Linked DNA regions of Arabidopsis thaliana. The protein of the gene in region 1 interacts with the protein of each later gene in a biochemical or structural test. Each region holds a gene or a part of one and is shown on either strand. Other genes may lie near its edges.

Region 1 (5,720 bases):
GCAAAATTAACTTAGACATGCAATTTACCGATTTCTTGACATTAGTCGAAAAACATTTGAAACTCGGTTATACAATGAGGTTATCGTTCAGGCCTCTGGAAAGAAAATCAATTCTATAATACTTCAATAACTTTTTAGTAAAACTAACTGGATCAACTGATGAATCATATATCAAAAAAACAAAAAAAAAAACTAACGGAGGTAGACAATAGTTTAGCTGGAATGCTTGAAGAAATGGCAAGAATATGCTTCGAGAAGTTATGATTTATGAAGAGGTTACCTGCAAATTTTTTCATTTCTTTTTGCCGACGGTTGGCTGTTAGTTAGGAAAAAGAATTTTTGTTATAGGATTTTCTCTTCCGTTTCGTACAAACCCAATCATTATTCTCGTCTTTATACTTAACTTTGCCTCTCATTTTCATGTTATCAATCTTTTAAATTAAATATATCGTCAATGACTGTTATGAATAATTAGTTCTTCATTCTCTGCCTTGGTTCGAACCTCAGTCACATGGTGCACGTTATTGTGATTTCCCATACCTCAAGAGTTATTCAAGATCCCTTACAGAAATATATTTATATAATCTTTTATCTAATGTAGTTATTTACAAACATGTATTATCTACCAAAATAAAAAGGGCTAAAAGCTTCTTGAGTGAGACCGCTTTTGGTTCGATTCATTTTCCTACACTCCAATAGTATTACACTATTGTATATAACAAGAATCGTGGGATTTGTTTAATCCGTACAATGAAACAAGAAAGATATACAATAACTTAATATCATTTTTTTTTGGGGACAATCTTAATATCATTTCTAATTTCTATAGAACCAAAAACACTCATAACAACTTAAACTTTGTTTTTTGTGAGAAAAATAACAACTTAATTACTAGTTACTACATTGACAATTTAACATCTTCAGCTAAAACCGAATGTATATGAACATTTATAATCTAGTTGCTATTGTATATACGATTGGATAATACGCATATCGACATTTAAATAATTGAGCCTGAAGATAATTCACAAATATGCAATGTAAATCCGTCCATACAGCCAAAAGTATGTATGTCCCATGCATAATTGAACAAAAAGAAATTATATTAATATTATTTTTGTTGTCTTCTGCAAATGCTAGGACTGCTATCATTATCATCATTGATTTTAATATTGATGTTTCCAGAAAAATAAATAAACAAATATAAAGAAAAAAACAAACACAATAAGTAAAGCTACACTATTAGGTAATAATTAAAGCTCATTTTTAAGTCTAAAATTTTAATTATAAAATAAAAACATTAAAAAGTTAAGACCCAAAGAAACATAAATGCTTTTTTCTTTCATCAATGTCAAAAAAGAAGTTTTCCCACCAAATGGTCAAACTTGGATCTTTGACAATATTGTTCCAATTTCATCATGCCCTATCTTTTCTATTTATACACATACCTTAGATATAATTATTAAACCCAAAATTTGTGTTAAGAAAAAAAATAGACCCAAAATTTGTGTTAAGAAAAAAAATAGACCCAAAATTTGGAATATATATATAAGTCACCGCTGGAAAAAAAATTATTGCAAGTAATTTCTTATATGAAATTGGAATGATAATATTTTGATCAAGTATCCATTACTAAAATTTTACAACGCTAGATAACGAGATTGCTTGAAGTCGAACTTGTGAACAAATTATAATAATGTAAAACTAACTTGTATTGACTAATCTTTGATTTTTTTTACAATAATGAGTGATATTACATTCATTTTATTAACTAAATACAACGAATATGATAAATATTCAGTCCTCTTATAAACTTTATGATAGTGAAAATTTGAGACATTGACAATTCTAGCATTCTAACATTTTATGAGATTACATGAAATGTCAATTTAGACCTTAAACCAAACGAATACATGATTCAAATTTGACCGACAAGTACATGATGCCTTCCCTTTGATCACGAAATTTCCACAAAGAGTCCGTGTCTGCGTAATTAACCAGCAATTTCAAGGGTGTTTACGTAATTGTAGCTTAACAAATAAAAAACACGAAAGAAGATGGCGAAGAAAACGGAAAGTAGTAGATAGATAAAGAAAGAGAAAGAGAAGAGCTGGATTCACATGGTCTTGTTCTTTCTCTCTCCTTCTTTTCTCATCTTGCGGCTTCCCTTTCTCTCTCTATCGCCACAATGATCATTACCAACCAAACTGATTGAAACTCATTTGTTCTCTCTCTCTCAAATCCACTCTCTCTCTTTCTTTTCTCTTCTCCTCTCTGTGTCTCTATCGCCATGGCTGATGATAAGGTAAAGCTGCTTGTGTTCCTTTTGCTGTCTTTTGAAGAAGAAGATCCTGTTTTTTGGTTTTTCCACATTTGACCCTTCAATTAGTTGTCTTGAGATTCCTGTTCTTACAGATGTTTTGTGATAATAAATCTAGTTTAGTTAGTACTCTTGAAGTTGAACGGTTTTGAGTTCTGGGTTTGTCCAAAGTTTTGAGCTTTCGTTAACTTTTTGACTTACCCTGAGATCTCTGAGGGTTTTGAGTTCTGAGCTTAGAATTTTCTAAGTTAGCTCTGTTGGGATGATCCATGTCTATATATCTCGATCTGTGATTAATCCAGAGTTTATACAAGCTGCTAGATCCATAATTGAACATAGATTAGTCCTTGTTTGGTTTGTTATATGTATTTGTTTTGTTTACCATTCTTTTGGCGTGACAAAAGTATATATTTTTAGTTTTAACTAAATCAGATTCACTCTGCGTAACGGTTATTTTGTAACCACTCTTTTAGGATAAAAGTTTCCTTCTTTAGACTTTTGATTCTCAGACAAGCATTATTCTTTTAGCTTTTGATAATGGTTTTGTGCTGATATTAAAGCTTTTCTCTTTCAGGAGATGCCTGCTGCTGTAGTTGATGGACATGATCAAGTCACTGGTCATATTATTTCCACCACAATCGGTGGCAAAAATGGTGAACCAAAACAGGTATTTTTAAGGCTTTTAACCAAATAGACTCACTTTTATGTATATGCAAGATTTTGATGGTTACCAATACATTTTTCTATGTTGTTGTTAGACAATTAGTTACATGGCGGAGCGAGTTGTTGGTACAGGCTCGTTCGGGATCGTTTTCCAAGCAAAATGTTTGGAGACTGGAGAAACCGTGGCGATAAAGAAGGTTTTGCAAGATAGAAGATACAAGAACCGAGAACTTCAGTTGATGCGTGTGATGGATCATCCGAATGTGGTTTGTTTGAAGCATTGCTTCTTTTCGACTACAAGTAAAGACGAGCTTTTCTTGAACTTGGTTATGGAGTATGTCCCTGAGAGCTTGTATCGAGTTCTGAAACATTATAGTAGTGCAAACCAAAGAATGCCTCTTGTCTATGTTAAACTTTACATGTATCAGGTAATAACAACACACATTCATATCTTCCATTTCCAAAGTTGATGTACATAAGATTGTTCTTAGGCTGATATTACTTCCTTTTGTTATGTTAGATCTTCCGGGGACTTGCTTACATTCACAATGTTGCTGGAGTTTGTCACAGAGATCTAAAGCCTCAAAATCTTCTGGTATGTGTAACATTTTAAGATTGAACTCTTTGTTTTTTTTCTTGCCTTTGTTTCTTTCGTTCTTAATGTATCTCTTCTGGTCTCTTTCTATAGGTTGATCCTCTTACTCATCAAGTCAAAATCTGTGACTTTGGCAGTGCGAAACAGCTCGTAAGACTTTGTGACATATAAACTCATTCGACTTGTAGCGGTTGTTGTTTTCTGTGATCTTGTCATTTACTGTTGAAATTTACTTTTGCTTCAGGTTAAAGGTGAAGCCAACATTTCTTACATCTGCTCACGATTCTACCGTGCACCCGAGCTCATATTTGGTGCCACTGAGTACACAACTTCTATTGATATCTGGTCTGCTGGTTGTGTTCTTGCTGAGCTTCTTCTTGGTCAGGTAAACAATTCTTTCAGTAACCAGCTTATTCAATCTCCATGTGTATATTTGCATTAGGACTCATTGTGACTATATCATGTTCTTATGCAGCCATTATTTCCCGGAGAAAATGCTGTGGATCAGCTCGTTGAAATTATAAAAGTAAGAATCTTTAAACGATGATTCCTTGCAAATTACATTCTTTGGCTACAAAATCCTCACTGTATAGTTGTTGTACACAGGTTCTTGGTACACCAACTCGAGAAGAAATCCGTTGTATGAATCCACATTACACAGATTTCAGGTTTCCACAGATAAAGGCACATCCCTGGCACAAGGTTAGTGTCTTTTCTCTTTTTGCATGTGTTCTTGTTTCAGTTTCTTTCTTCACACATCAACTGATCATAATTACGTTTTGGTTTAGATCTTCCACAAAAGGATGCCCCCAGAAGCGATTGATTTTGCATCAAGGCTGCTTCAATACTCTCCAAGTCTAAGATGCACAGCGGTAAGCATTGGTCTTGAGGTTTCTTCAGTCTCTAAGAATCCAACTGAATCCTTACTATATATTTTGTTTCCTCGTATTTCAGCTCGAAGCTTGTGCACATCCGTTCTTTGATGAACTCAGAGAACCAAACGCTCGTTTACCAAATGGACGGCCTTTCCCGCCTCTCTTCAACTTCAAACAAGAAGTAGCTGGATCATCACCTGAACTGGTCAACAAGTTGATTCCAGACCATATCAAGAGACAATTGGGTCTAAGCTTCTTGAATCAATCTGGAACTTAAAAGGGATCCTGCAAAAGACAACTACTTTTTTATATATAATGTACCATTACACGAGCCACAAGGTCGTAGTTGAAGGCAAACGTGGAGGACACAATTCAAAGTTTTTCCTCCTCAAACTCGTTCAGACAAAGCCAGCTGCTAGCAAAACCAACTCCCCCAAATCTGCGAAAACAAAAACTCTCCAGTGTTGTATCTGCTTATTTCTCTTCTCTTTTCAAGTTTGGTGAAAAACACAGTCTCCTCTTTGCTTCATTTCTTCTTTCTTTCCCCCTTATGTAAATGAGTTTAGTCAGAAGTTTTTTTATATAGTAAAGTTTGGGCAGAAGGTGAAGAATGTAATCAAAGTGATACTCTTTCAACGAGGAGCTTCTTTCAAACACTTTTTTTTTTTTTCAAACACTTCATGAATGGATACATGGTTTTGCTTTAAGCATAAGTATATTTGTATTAAATTTTCACTCAATTTAATTGCACGAATCATTACAAAAATAATATCTCGCTACTCATATAAATACCCTATAAATAAATAAGTGAATTTTTTTTATCTCTCATGGAAATTTGATTTATGTATTTATATGTTTTAAGATTCGAAGAAATTTTTAAATAATGAAAATTTACAAATATATAATTCTTAATTCAGAATTTCAGATATTGAATTACTTATTGGATTTTTAAAACAAAAAGAAAATTACATGACTTTTTTTTTCTTTTTTTTTTTTAAATATCTGTTAGTTCAAGTTAAAAGACCATACATTTTCTAAAGGCGGGACCTATATCAGGTTAAATTCATCTCCTTTTAGAAAAAAAATATATTTGGGAAAGGCTTTGATAGCAAGCAATTAAAGTATCCGAAACTAACAAAACCTATCTGGTCTTGGACTCTTAGTCTTTATATAAACAACATCAGATAGATCGAGAGACCATACGCAACAATTTACTAATTTCTCTTCTCCTTCGTTGCTTTTGAAACCCTAGTTATTATCGAGAGAT
Region 2 (5,841 bases), on another chromosome or scaffold:
GCTTCTGAGTTTTCAGTGAAAACACTCGTCTATGAGAAATGTTACAACCTCTCCTATGTTAGGAATCATGAGCATCTAACGTAAAACTAATTGACAATAAGTTAACTCATCCTATTTTATATATTGTATTAGTATTAATCGCTTCATACTCCTATTGTAGAATCCTAACATCCTCATCCTCGACACAAGATCTCATCGGTGTAATGTCCAAAATCCGAAACAAGAATGTGTTTTTTTAATAATGGTAGTGAATATAATGGCCAAATATGTTCTCTTTGGAAGTTACAATATTGTTGTATGTGATATAATAACTTTGAGGAAAAAGAACAAAACGACTTCATGGCCCAATGGATAAGGCGCTGGTCTACGAAACCAGAGATTCTGGGTTCGATCCCCAGTGAAGTCGCATTCTTTTTTACACTATATCCTTACCTTCAAATTTGATCTGGAACAAGGAGAATAAGTAGATATATAGCCTTTCCAAGCTGTACTGCGTGAATCCATGGCTAAACCTTTCTGGTCTGGAACAATGGTCTTTACCTTCCAAGTCTTCTTCATTGCTCAACATTGTCGTCACGTTATGTGCAACGAATCAAAAAATGTGAAATCTCACTTTAACCAAAATGACACAAGCCCTTGACTATAAAACAAAGCTACACAAATTTGAAATAGAAGATGACAATAAGACACAATTAGAAACAGTAGTGGTAAATAGAATGTTTAAACAGAGAAGAAGGAACAGAACAGAGTCTCTGTCTCCAAAAATTCTGAAGACACATCAATTGTCACAAGTCTTGTGCTCTGCCGTTTCACGAGCAAATGACCAAAAAAACAAGTAGAAGAAGAAACCATTAGGCTTCAATACCGAAGATGAACCAGTAAAAACAAAAAAAGAAAAAACCCCTAATTAGGTTTTTTAAAAAAGGAGATGAATTTTTCTTATTAATGTTATTGAAGCTTCTCTCTTATCTGTCTTCTTCAAAATCTGAGAATGGTGTGTCAGCCAAACTCCAATCTCATTCCACATTCATCCTTCCTTTCCTTTTTTACCATCCTTCCCTTGCTGACGATGACCTGTGAAACCCGAAAATCTGAAATGTCAGTTTACTCGCATCTCAAGATCTTGATACACAGAAGCAAACATTATAAGGAATGACCCAAGTTTGGATCTTTATACTAACTTTTGGGTTCATGTCAACCCCAGATAAGTAGGAAGGAAGCTATTGAATGCGAGTATATTGTAAGTCTGTTCCTTGGAATGGGATTGAATCAGATGTAAAAGGCTAACCTGTCGAAGTTTCTGTTGTTGAAGAATCCACGTTCCTTGCTTCCTTGGAAGTTTCTTCGATCATCTACTGGTCTTGGCCAATTATCGCCTGTGCCATGTGATCTAGGTCTTTCCATGGATTCAACACTCCTAGACTCATCGATTGATCCAGCCCGTGAATGTGGTCTTTCTGAATAGGAACCGCCTCTGCTTGCACTGGATCCAGGCCTCTCAACTGCTCGTGGCCTGAACCTGACTTTGTCGTCCAGCTCACGGATCAGTAAGTCTAGGTTCTTTTCTTTCTCACGTATGAGATCCGGTAGATTTTGGTGATTACTGTCGGATTCCTGTTGAGATTCCTTGCTCTCAGGTGCAATGGCTGCCTCCTTCTCGAGTTTCTTCCGTAGTTCTTCAATCTCTTCCTTCAACATCCTCTCTCCCTCTGTTTCAGGCCTGAAATTTTTGTGTTTCAAGAGACCGAGATGAAAAGTGAGACCATAGCTAATCAAGAGATGATCTAGAAAGTCATCACCATAATCACAGAGAAGTTATTTATCTACCAACAAGGCATCACAGAGCTCACAAAAGAGTTAACAAAAGAAGACACAAAACTCAGACGAATGTGACAGCATGAGATACCAAAAAATGCAAGAGCTGTCTTACAAGTTACATGTTACATGTTATGCAATTCTATAAATGCCAAGGAGGCTGAATAAAAAAGATATAGGAACAAAATAAGTTCAAAAAGAGCACAGTTGAGAGAACAAAGATCAATCAATCTGCCAAAGAAATGGGCAATGCATATATTTGGTAATGAAGCAACTTTCAGATAAAAGTCTGATGCCGAGATGCTTAAGAAGACATTCATTCAACATGTCATCAAAAGAAAACCACGAATACACTAAAACTTAAGTAGATAAATCATTCAATTAGTTTCCATTTTGAATTTGAAATAATAAGCCGAAGTGGCAAAATTACCTAAAGCTATTACTTTGAATATAATTTACTATCCTCTAATGGTTCACCAGTTCATATCACTTAAAAGATCAAACTTTTCTGATTCAGTATGTTGAACAGCGGATTATTTGAGACATAATTAACATTCAACCCATGGCAGCAACATAGAATTGACGGAAATTCACATTGCTCAGAGAAAAGAAAGAAAATCCAAATGAATAAGGACCTGTCAACCCTGCGATGCTCGAGTTCAGAATCAATCTTGCGCCAATCTTTCCCTTGTTCCTCCAGCAATACTTCCCGAGGTTTTGCATCACCAAAAGGATTCACCTTTGGTCTCGGTTTCACCACATTCTCCACATTGTTCAATGCTGAACTCTCAGACCTGTTAGATTGAGCACTTGATGGTCTGCTCGATTGCGCGCTTGATGGTCTGCTTGTTTGTCCCTTCTTGGCCTCAATATCCGAGTCAAGTTTCTTCCAGTCCAATCCTTTCTCCGCCAAAACTTGCTCTCTCGGTCTAGCTGCTCCAAATGGACTCGGCTTACTCGTCTTCACAGCAGTTGGAGTTTCACTCACTTCTGTATCAGCCTTTCGTGGTTCAAATACAAGACGACGTCGCTCTTCCTGAACCCCACCACCAGAAGGAAGGACTCCTCGAGCCCATCGGTCAGGCTCTGGTCCGGATTCACGGAAACCCGACCCAAACGTAGATGATTTTGCTTTACCCGCTGCCCAATTATCAACCTCATCAGCTTTAGAGAATCCACCTCCACCTCCACTACCAGCACCAGCACCACCGCCGCCATAACTGCCAGCACCACCTCCTCCTCCTCCACCAAAACTACCTCCCCCACCACCATAACGACTACCTTGACGTCCTTGATCAAACGAAGGAAGCGATTTCTTTCCTTTTCCCCAATCATCATCCTCATCAGCCCTAGAAACTTGTGGGAAATCAGAAACCCTAGAATTAGATCCCCTCTGATCATCATCAAATCCACCATAAGATCTCCTCCCACCACCACCACCGCCCCAAGACCCATCAGAATCCTCTCGATCTCGTGACATTCTTCCCGGAGGTCCACTAGACCTTCCTCCACCATAAGAAGAGAATCCACCACCGAGACGACCAGGTTGCATTTCATCCTCAGAACGTTGTCTTGGACCAGTAGGTAGCTGAAGCATCTGCTCTCTCGTCAATCCAGCAGAACTCGGAGCAGTGTATGCTCCTTTGGTAAACTCCGATAAAGTCATCTTCTTCTTCTTCTTAGAAGACTTAGCAGTCGCAGCCTCTTTCAGACTCGGGAAACTCTGTGAATCTGCCGCCGTGGCTGTAGCTTCAGCAGCTTGCTCTTCATCGGCACGCTCAGCCTCATCAGCCCATGCGCCGATTCCACCCCAAGGTTTCGACATCTGTGAATTTTCCAATTCCAAATTCGGAGATTCCCCCAGATCTGAAAAACGCAGGACAGAAATTGAGAGTGACGAATCTAAAGATTCCAATTCAAAGTAGCTCCGAGTGAGAAATCGAATCTAAAGATTCTCTCGTCGTCGCCTAAAGATGAAATTTTTTATATGTAAAAATCGATTTATTTCCTTGTGAAGCTGGTTTGTTTGTAGGTTTCGGAACGGAGGAGCAATGGACGGAGAAAGAGAGATAGCAATACGCGACGTATTGGAGCGTGTGGTACACGTAGAAATCAGTTTTACGAGGAAGTTAATGGCTTGAACGTTGTGCCGTTGTGGTTCACGCGACGTGTTAGCAAGTGACGGTTGACTTGTACAGGAAACGAACGGTCATGAGTCTTTGTTTTTAGCCAATTCTTATCAAATTATTTATCTTTGTTTTTCCCACCAACTTCAAAACATATACATTGCATCCATTTCTTTAAATCGGGTGATTATAGAAAATGAAGACATAAATGGATATGATATATAACACATTCATTTTTCAGATTTTTGAATGGATTCAAACGTGAAATTCAAAAAGATCTTGAGAGAGTATTACACATTCATCGTTTTTCTCTATACATAAACCTTTAACCTTAGAAAGCTAAACTGTGCGTTTACAGCATCAAAAACAAAATGGCTTTCTCTACCCTTTGTCTGAGTTTTTCATATCCAAAATGAAGACAAAAGCAGCAGAGTTTCTTCTAGAGAGATGTGACCTAGTTTCTCAAATCTCTTTCTGAGATCTGAGATAGTTCATTACAGGACCCATAGCACTGCCTCGCAGTGCCTTGTAAGACCATGAGCCTCCACTTGAACTCCCTTTCTTGTTCCACCCATTGTTGGCCTGAGACAACGCTGCTTTCTTTGCACTTAAAGCTTCACTTAGTTCTTCCCAAGGGCTCACTTCTCCATTTTCTGCAATATTCCAATGAAAGTAGATAAGACTCCATCTATTTCAATACAATGTCGATCCAAGATTGATGGAAAATTTACCTTTTGCAGGGGTTTGCAATTCTTTGTTTGCGCTTAGCTTTGGCTTTTTAGCTGACTGGTCAGGCTCGGGCAGTGCTGACTTGGCGACTTCTGCAGAATCTGAGCTGCTAGTTTTGACACTGCGAACATCGAGCAGAGCAGAAAATTCTATCTGCAGAAGCAAAGTCTTTCTTATATTAGAATTCTGATGCTTAGCAAGCAAACAACTACAAGAATGTTCTTGTTCATAAGATATGTATGACATAATGTAAACCATGAAGCATACCTCCAGGGATCCATCTTCTTTATAAAGAGATGTATCAGGTTGCATACAGAAATCGTCGTCCTCTTCTGTCTTTTTCTCGATTGGAAATTCTTGAACAGGCATCAAAGTCACCATCTTGGAGTCTGGATCATAGTAGCTTATCTTCCCAACCTATCAAAAGAAGTATATTGTAAAGTGGATAAGTTCCTCAGAATAAGCGTTGATTGATCGAATTTGGCTTAAAAGGAGAGCCAGAAATTTTACCCGAAAAGAGGAAACCTCGGGTGTCCAAGATGATGTTAACTCAATGAGGCGGTATGCAATAACATCTCCTTTCTGTAAAGTTAACAAACCAGGAGTTAAGGAGTTTAAAAATGCTGAATCTATAAACAACCTGCTGGGGGTAGTAAAGACTATAAACAAACCTTTACTGAGCCAGTGTAAGCCACAAGCTGTTCATAATCAATCGGACAATTAGCAAGTGTCTCTGCTTCAGCGGGCTGTGTCGTAGCATCTTCATTAAAATCCTGAGCATATCGTTTGGAAAACCCTGACTTCTCTGTGCCCCATTTCTGTCCCTTCTTCTTCGTCATGTTTCCATTCCACAAGACATTTTCCTAATATTATTTAGACATAATCATTACAGATTCAGCTTAGGCAAAGCTTTAAGGATACAAACATAGGGTCAAGTCATACCACAAGAGGTTCACTATCAAGAGAGGCTTCATCTGTTCCAGCTGAAAAATAAGCATATAAGGGAAACTGTGAGGAGCCTTGCAAACGCACAAAAGCTATACAGAGAGAAATTTACATAATAATTTACCGAGAGGCTTGAAGCGTATGTGGCCTGGCCTCACTTCCACAGGTACAACTTCATCCCCGAAACCATCACTAACTTCTTCTGCCTGTTGATTTTCAAGAGTTT
Region 3 (7,504 bases), on another chromosome or scaffold:
AGACCTATCACTATATGTGTCGATGGTAGAATTACAAGGAGCTAGAGAACCACTTATTTAACTATGCAGTTTTGTATTGTTGTAAGATAATGGCATAAACTGATACAATTGAAAGTTTTTCCATAAACTCAGCAAGTTTGATAAAATGTTTGTTGTGTTTCTGTGACGATTGAGATTGTCGGCTTAAGGCGGTAGTATGCCAGAGTTGCCGGTGTTGTGTGTTTCATATGGTTTAAAGTCTTGATTTAGATAGAGTTCTACCTAAATACAAGTTTGGTTATGAAGAGCCATATGATAGAATGAAACCATAGATCACGAAACTTTGATCATGTGTTTGCCATGGTGTCATCTTTCTGTTTTTCAGCGGATTCGTTTATATGGACATGAGCATAGCTAGAGAAATAAACTTGAAAACCCAAACCTTGTTTTCCTCATTGTTACAAGGGAAACAACAAATTTTAGCATCCAGTTTTTTTTTCAAAGTACTTTAAAAAGAGGGCTCACTGTTTTGCTCATTGCAAGCTTAATTTTCAGATTGTAGCTAGAAACATCCGAATTTATTTAATGTAAGGATTCGAAATGGAATCCGTTTGTTAAGAGGTCTTACAGTTTCGTGAATATATCTATATCACCGTCTAATACGAAAAGCTGCAAAATACCGACAAGACCAGACCAAAACCAAAAGTCAGCAAGAGAATAAGTTGAGAAAATGTGAATCGACAAGATAATTAAAAAAGGGCAAGAGCTTGAAAACTTATGTACATTGGGATTAATATAAACAATAAAAAGACTTCAAGAGATCTTTGGAAGAAGGAAAAAAATACATCCATAAAAAGAACCGATACCAGCCTCCGACTACAACTCCACACCATCATATTCTACTTATAAAAGAGCTTTTCATATTCTACTATATAATACCTGTAACCTTTTTATGTTTTACTTTATAATATCTATTAATTATTATTAGATAGATAATAAGGGTGATGGAAGATGCTAATTATCTAAGTGGCCAACAAAATACTTCAAAAATTGCATTTTTAATATCTTATCTTAAACCCATCATCCCATTTTGCTCTCCAGTCTCCACCAATCGACCCCCATCCTGCTGTCATTAACAGAACAAACATCAGTCGAATGTAATGACATAAACTTTTGGCTGTGTCTCTAGTCTACTAATATCTCAAAAGCTTTTACATACCTCGGCTTGCAGCAAAAGGGTTGTTGGTTATTTTGTTTGTTTAAGAGTTCCCAGCGCTGGACAATGAAGGATTTGATGCAGACTTGGCGTCCTTTGCATCTGATCCTTCCCCAACAACTGCTTCTTCCTCGCTCCTACAGCTTAAAGTCCCCGGGTTCATCTTCCTCACTTCCTCTTTCGTGTATATGAAGATTTTGCGAACCATGCAACAAAACTCCCTGCAAGAGAGATCATTGTGTCAGTGTTATAAGAAAAACACTAACATCGATATAAACTAAGATGGAAAATTTGCAAAATCTTACTGCCAAGGATCGTCACCAACAAGCATCATATCATTCTCTTCATCTGTGTAAACTATCAACCAATCTTTCTTAGGAGCCATCAACTCTCCATTGAACTCAAACAGCCTGTCCAGCTCAGCGACTAACTCCTCATAGTTTTGGAACTTTGAAAGATCCACTGAACGGCCAAGTGCAATTCCCTGCTTGTGAACCTTTACATCAATGTGTCATGTGTTAGTTGAAAAGTGATTCAAGGGTTATCACAACCTCATACACTTTGTGCTACATATTGCAAAAATTTACCTTTGTGCAACTCCTACTTGAGTTGGTTTTCGTTTGAGCATCCTTCGGATGAGGATTATTAGTCTGGAATGGTCTTCCCTGTTCACGATGATCGTTTGTTGATTTTGACCCTTTTGACTGATCTGAAAGGTCCTGAACCTTTGGTGATGCTATCTGTGTAAGCCCCGCAGCATCATTCAAGTTGTTTCTCTGAGACATGGTTGAGTCTGTCCCATTCATGTTGTTGGTCAGAGGAATGCCAAAGAGCCTGCAGTTCCCTTCTCTTGACTTTGCTGTCTCCTCTTGTATCGTGAAGGGTTGTTTTGTTACTTGCTCCCTAGCCTGAGCTTGCGCTTGAGCATTGACCACTTCCTCATAATAATTCAAAGCACGTGGACGTATTGGCCAGTTACCACCAGCATTCTCAGTCGATAGACCATTAAGAACAGGATATTCGCTGTATTTAACATTGCATCGCCCTTGGAGAGACGCATCAGTTGCTGCAGGTACCTTAGGAGATTCATGTAACTTCAGGGAGAGACCAGAGTGTATCATCTGCCACTGGTTAGCAAGATAATCGAACTTGCCTTCTGAATCACTCAAGATTCTCTTTGCAGGCATAGAAGGTGATGATGAATGGTCATAAAAAGGTATCCGCTGACCATGGGATGGATCTATGTTAGTCCCAAAGCCGGAGAGCAAATCTGTGTAAGTAGGTTCATGCCTGGCTGAGGACATCCAGTTCTCAGATCCATATCTTCTAGAACCCGAAACCACGTCAACCTTATCATCATCCGCTGAAGATTGCCAGACAACAGAATTCTCAGGAGCATCACACTCTACACTCTCAGTATGTTTCGTCCTCAAGGTCGAGTATTCTTGACCTTGCAAGACCCTTGAAAGTCCGCTTGCTGGTAAAGGGTCCATGTTTGCCTTAGTTGTACCTGTTTTGTGTACAATGAATTAGACTCCCACTGACAAGTTCAATTAAGTTTCAGACGCACTACTATGTGTACTACAGTGGAAGGGGAAGACATTACCTTCTCTGGTAAGCATCGAAGAGTCAGGAGATGAAGGTGCTATATTTGATCTGGGCCTCTTAGGCCTAGGCATTGGAACAGGACTCAAAGCAGGAGGAGCAAGAGCTGGCTCTACTTTCCACGGAGATACTCTATCAGGTCGAGGAATACTAGAAGTCTCATCCCATCTCACCTGAAAGACAATTGAACAATCAGCATTCATTATATTCAAACAATAGTCTTGATCCTCTCTAGAAACTAGGTCATACCTTGAGGGATCTCCACTTTGATTTTGGCCACCTAGTAGGATCAGACTCTTCAATCCCAACGATTGTGCCAGTAAACCTAATATAAATCAATACAACTTGTTAGGTTCGTTATTCCAAGAGAAAAAGGCTCAAGAGCTAACATATTTCAAAAGCAGAAGACAGGTTTTACCTCTGCTCAGGAGCCTCTTCGCCTTCAAATCTCATTTTGAATCTCATGCCAATAGAGTAGTTATTCTTAACAGACTCCATATACTGATCGAACGGAACAATAAACTCAGATGGGCTCGTCCTGTATTAAACAAAACAACACCGCATGAAAATTTAGTAGAGTGATTCACTACCAAGCATCAGACATATAGAGACATACAAAGCAAAGAGCTCAAAAAACTGAAAGCTGTTTTGTGAGCTAATACAAATACAAACCTGGGTTTGTAGTAGACTGTAAACATAGTCCCTGTTGAAATGGCATGCCATGCGGTGGCCAGTACTCCAAGATGCATGCTATGGCTAGATATAACAGAAGACGGCACGTTTCCTTGTTGTCGCATCGCACGCCTTACACCAACTCTTAATTCTCCATTCTCGCCCCTGTAGAAGATTAAGATATTCCACATTATAGAAACTAACAGATACAGCTAAAGAAAACAATGAACTAAAATCCACAAACCTTAGAAATATAAACGCATCGCCTGCAACTAGCCTTTTGGAGCTAACAAACACACTCCACCCACTCTGTAGCAAATGCCTCCGTGGTTGACCTGGTCCATTATCACAAACATCAACAACCAGATAAGTTTGATGACACACAGACTCGAGAAAAACAGAAAATAAAAAAGTTACAGATTCCTATACCCCGGAATATATGTCTGAATCGCCACTCATTTGCATGCAAATCCTTTGCAACTAACTCTTGAGTGGGAGGCTGTCGAGACATATCCTGAGGGAAGAAACAAAAAATGAATTGAAGGCAATCTTAGAACAAAATTCAGGAAAAATAAGCCAATGAATAGATAGTTAGAAGCGCAAATGAAACACCAACCAGAGGTGGGAGACATTCATCCGCATGTCGCCTAAGAACAGAAAATCCACCATGTGTACTTGTGTCGGATGCAGTCAAGGTTTTGCAGAACGAATGCACCTGGAACCTCGGAGGTGGAGGAAGAGGCGCTTCTTTCTCAATTGCATTCTCGTCTTGCTGTATGGAACAAAAAATATATAGAATTCAGCATCTTGAAGAATAAGATCACCTCTACAACACTCAAACCAATAAATCAGAAAACAAAACTTACATTAGCCTCAGGAAGAAGAGTAATCTGCGCATAAACTTCATCTGTATCTGCCTCTGCCTGTAAAATCATAAACAAAACTCTTGTTAGCTGACAATCCAAGACACAGAAACCAAAATTTTCCAAGAAGTTAAAGAAACCTACCTTTAAATCTACATTAATAACTCGACAGAGAAGCTTTGACGGAAGATCATAGAGAGGCATCTGTTGTTCTGCCGCCTGGTTCGTCGAAGCCTCCACCTAATCATAAAACAATGGAAACCGACAAAGTTCATTAGAAAATATCTCAACAGGTACGAATCACAGAGGGGTTAACTCAAAGATTTAGCCAAAAATAGCAAGAACTCATAGATGAAATATCTCACCTGCTCGATGTGTCCTTGAGGAAAATAGAAGACTCGGTCGTCTTGTCTAGGAACCGTCACAAGCGGACCAGCACAAGCGTGCCATAGCTCTCTGTAAAGAGCAGCCTCAGGGTCCACTATGAAGACGAAGAAGAAGAAGATAAATTAGATCAAGTCAGTCTGTAACCAAAACCAAGCTTAAGAAACCCTAAGAAACGGAGACTTACAAGCACGCTCAGCCGCAGCGGATCGGGTAGAATTACTTTTTTGCCCCTCGCCGGCGACGGAGACATTTCTAGTCTCCTTAGGGTCACTAAAACCAGAGGAGGAGAAGTTATCTCCTCCACGATTACCTTTCATTGAAACCTCCGAACTCGCCATACCTTCCGAAGCTCAGATCTGTTTCATCTGGTACCAAATAAGCCTCTAAGCAGACGATATCAACAAGAAATCTCCAAATCCGTCTCTGAAAAAGCTCAAAACTCGCTTCGGTAGTCCACTTGATTCCTTCCTTTGTCTTTATCTCACTAACAAACACAATCACCACTAGTTTAGCTCCTTGACATTACTCGATAAAACTATCAGAGAAGATAAACCCTAGAATCAAACGATAAAACCACCAATTTCACCTCAAATTGCCTCCGATTTAGAGATACGACAACTCCAAAGCTCTCTCTCTCTCTCTCTCGCCGTCCTCGCTAGTCTAGGCTTTATCGGAGTCACAGACGCTTGAATACCGACGACGAGCGATTTTCTCTTGTTTTGTCTCTCAGAGTTTGTCTCTCTAACATTCTCTCTCTTTTTATTTCTTCGTCTTTCCTATCCTTTTGTTTTTCTGGGTATGAGGCGACCAATGGGCTTAACCAGAGGTAGTCAAAACTCAGCTTCAATCATTTCAACCGCGGTAAACTTCTAACCCATATGGATAACCGGCATTCACCGGTTACCATTCCCTCTTTCATACCGGCTATTACCGGTTGTAACCATTTCCGGGGGACCAGGGTCTGCGACCTCACAAAACCAAAGACAAGTGACGATTTTATTTTCTTTCCTCCACTTTTTCTTATTTTTTAATAAAGCCTTTTCAATAGAAAAAATTGACATATCCTTTTCTAAAATTTAATTTTTTAAAAAACAAATTGGAGAAGATAAATTGAAGAAAAGACCCAAATTGCAGACATTTCCAAGTCGTATTTCCCCAGAAATATAGCAATTTAAGTCATCCTAAAATTGTTGACCAAAACAATTCTTGAAAAAACTATGGTCTGGTAGTATTTATTTACTGGTGACTGTGAGTTGAATACTTTTATTTATTTACAGTTACTGTGAGTTGAAAAATAAATACTCAAGTTGCCAAAAAAAATCCATTAGGGGAGAAAATAAATTAAATGTGTAGAGGGGATTAGCAAGTAAGAAAGGCTGCTTTACTTTTTTAGATGGGACTAACGGCGTCAACAAGTCGTGAGCAAGCGTCAACTTTTGATTGGGTAAAGAGGATAACGGTGTTTGGGAAAGAGAGCGTCAATGGGAAAGGTGTTGTGTTTTTATTGGGAAGTGGCTTTGTCGTGCTGTGAACAGGCAGGTCTGGGTGGACGTAGAGAGAACGAGAGAGGGAGAAAAATGCTACGTGGCACCAGAAAAATATGTGCATTTTAGCATTTTAAAGATATTTCGGATGTCATTTTCTATGGTCTTTTGGCTATCGTGCGCCTCTAGGAATTTTCGTCTCGTGAATCTCTCGTACTTTAATTTACCCTGTTTTTCTTTTTATGGAAAAACAAAGACGTTTCATTATCTGTTTTTTATTTTCTCTAATTCAATTACAACTCAGATATATAAAAGATCGTCGAATATTATACGAACCTCAACCATATTTATGATATCCTGATGGCAGAACAAAAAATACGAAGCCTTAACAGTCATTCGATAGTTATTTTAAACTAGTAGTTGATTTTATCTAAAATCATTTGCTGAACAACTAAATTAACTCTTGGATTACCACTTAATACAGCTGGCTAATGGGATGAATCTGCTTCAAAAATTAAATTTCCGTATGCCCCGTCATAATTACATATTTACATATATTGTTGTAAGTGGAAGCGTTAAAAAGGAAGAAAATCTGGTTTATAGACAAGAGTTTATTGTAGTCCACTCATACAGCTGGCAAATAAGATTAATTAGTGTTCCTAAAAAAAAATTAAGTCCAAATTACGAATGAATTAAATCAACCTTTTTCTTTTATAGTAGTATCTACTAAAACGTTGGCCATGTTCTTTTGTTGATTGCTGCGTCAGCTACCTGCGACCCAAAAAAAGTTCTCATCTCTTTTTCACTTTCATTTCTCATTTTTTTCATCTCTGCCGCATCGACTGTAATTCGGCCATTCCGTAGACGCTGGAATTTTCAGCGTCTCAAATTCCCTTTCTCCTATCTCTTCAGATCTGTCGCTGCGACTCTTTCATTCATCTCACCTTCATCTCTCTTTCTTTTTTTCTTTATATTTTATACCGTCGGTGCTTGTCGCAGCGATAAACAAAAGAACAAGGTAAATATCAAATAACTAATCGCGACAAAACTTTTTATTTTCTTCTAATTATTATATATCGTTTAATATTTAACACACGCACACTATTTTGCACAAATTATTTTTAACAACACGTAAACTATCTCTCTGTGAAACACAAAATCTATTGCAAAATTACAAACCATGAAAATCAAATTTGGAAAAAAAAAAAAATCAGGATAACGATGGAAAATAAAAAAGAAGACTGTTCAGCAATAAGCCAATAACACGTCACACGCGATATGACAAGGAAAACGAGACG

Evidence for each region. The genes of interacting proteins can lie anywhere in the genome.
Region 2: of the proteins of BIN2 (region 1) and EIF4B2, one has a biochemical effect on the other in vitro, tested with the Arabidopsis thaliana proteins (one study listed by BioGRID).
Region 3: of the proteins of BIN2 (region 1) and ARF2, one has a biochemical effect on the other in vitro, tested with the Arabidopsis thaliana proteins (one study listed by BioGRID).

What each region holds. Positions count from the first base shown.
Region 1 is NC_003075.7:10,294,184-10,299,903, forward strand, and holds BIN2 (Protein kinase superfamily protein), read left to right. Parts: upstream 1-1,954; 5' UTR 1,955-2,290; coding exon 2,291-2,305; intron 2,306-2,342; exon of another isoform or gene 2,343-2,894; coding exon 2,895-2,987; intron 2,988-3,078; coding exon 3,079-3,411; intron 3,412-3,503; coding exon 3,504-3,578; intron 3,579-3,671; coding exon 3,672-3,728; intron 3,729-3,822; coding exon 3,823-3,963; intron 3,964-4,053; coding exon 4,054-4,104; intron 4,105-4,184; coding exon 4,185-4,280; intron 4,281-4,366; coding exon 4,367-4,450; intron 4,451-4,532; coding exon 4,533-4,730; 3' UTR 4,731-5,206; downstream 5,207-5,720. UniProt on the Arabidopsis thaliana protein: Negative regulator in brassinosteroid signal transduction pathway important for plant growth. May be also involved in auxin signaling pathway. Phosphorylates and increases the degradation of BZR1 and BZR2/BES1 by the proteasome.
Region 2 is NC_003070.9:4,439,881-4,445,721, forward strand, and holds EIF4B2 (eukaryotic initiation factor 4B2), read right to left. Parts: upstream 4,075-5,841; 5' UTR 3,641-4,074; coding exon 2,451-3,640; intron 1,721-2,450; coding exon 1,289-1,720; intron 1,075-1,288; coding exon 1,047-1,074; 3' UTR 524-1,046; downstream 1-523. Other genes in the region: AT1G13030 (sphere organelles protein-like protein), read right to left, coding at 4,404-4,594, 4,673-4,823, 4,938-5,087, 5,181-5,252, 5,342-5,533, 5,613-5,653, 5,740-5,841. UniProt on the Arabidopsis thaliana protein: Promotes the eIF4F and eIF4A RNA-dependent ATP-hydrolysis activity with different efficiency depending on mRNAs, thus providing mRNA discrimination during initiation of translation.
Region 3 is NC_003076.8:24,908,415-24,915,918, reverse strand, and holds ARF2 (auxin response factor 2), read right to left. Parts: upstream 5,729-7,504; 5' UTR 5,309-5,728; exon of another isoform or gene 5,207-5,308; 5' UTR 5,061-5,206; coding exon 4,907-5,060; intron 4,817-4,906; coding exon 4,701-4,816; intron 4,576-4,700; coding exon 4,480-4,575; intron 4,396-4,479; coding exon 4,339-4,395; intron 4,245-4,338; coding exon 4,089-4,244; intron 3,987-4,088; coding exon 3,902-3,986; intron 3,808-3,901; coding exon 3,717-3,807; intron 3,638-3,716; coding exon 3,473-3,637; intron 3,339-3,472; coding exon 3,219-3,338; intron 3,126-3,218; coding exon 3,050-3,125; intron 2,974-3,049; coding exon 2,802-2,973; intron 2,706-2,801; coding exon 1,783-2,705; intron 1,692-1,782; coding exon 1,501-1,691; intron 1,417-1,500; coding exon 1,239-1,416; 3' UTR 1,199-1,238; intron 1,106-1,198; exon of another isoform or gene 1,103-1,105; coding exon of another isoform or gene 1,046-1,102; 3' UTR 524-1,045; downstream 1-523. UniProt on the Arabidopsis thaliana protein: Auxin response factors (ARFs) are transcriptional factors that bind specifically to the DNA sequence 5'-TGTCTC-3' found in the auxin-responsive promoter elements (AuxREs). Could act as transcriptional activator or repressor.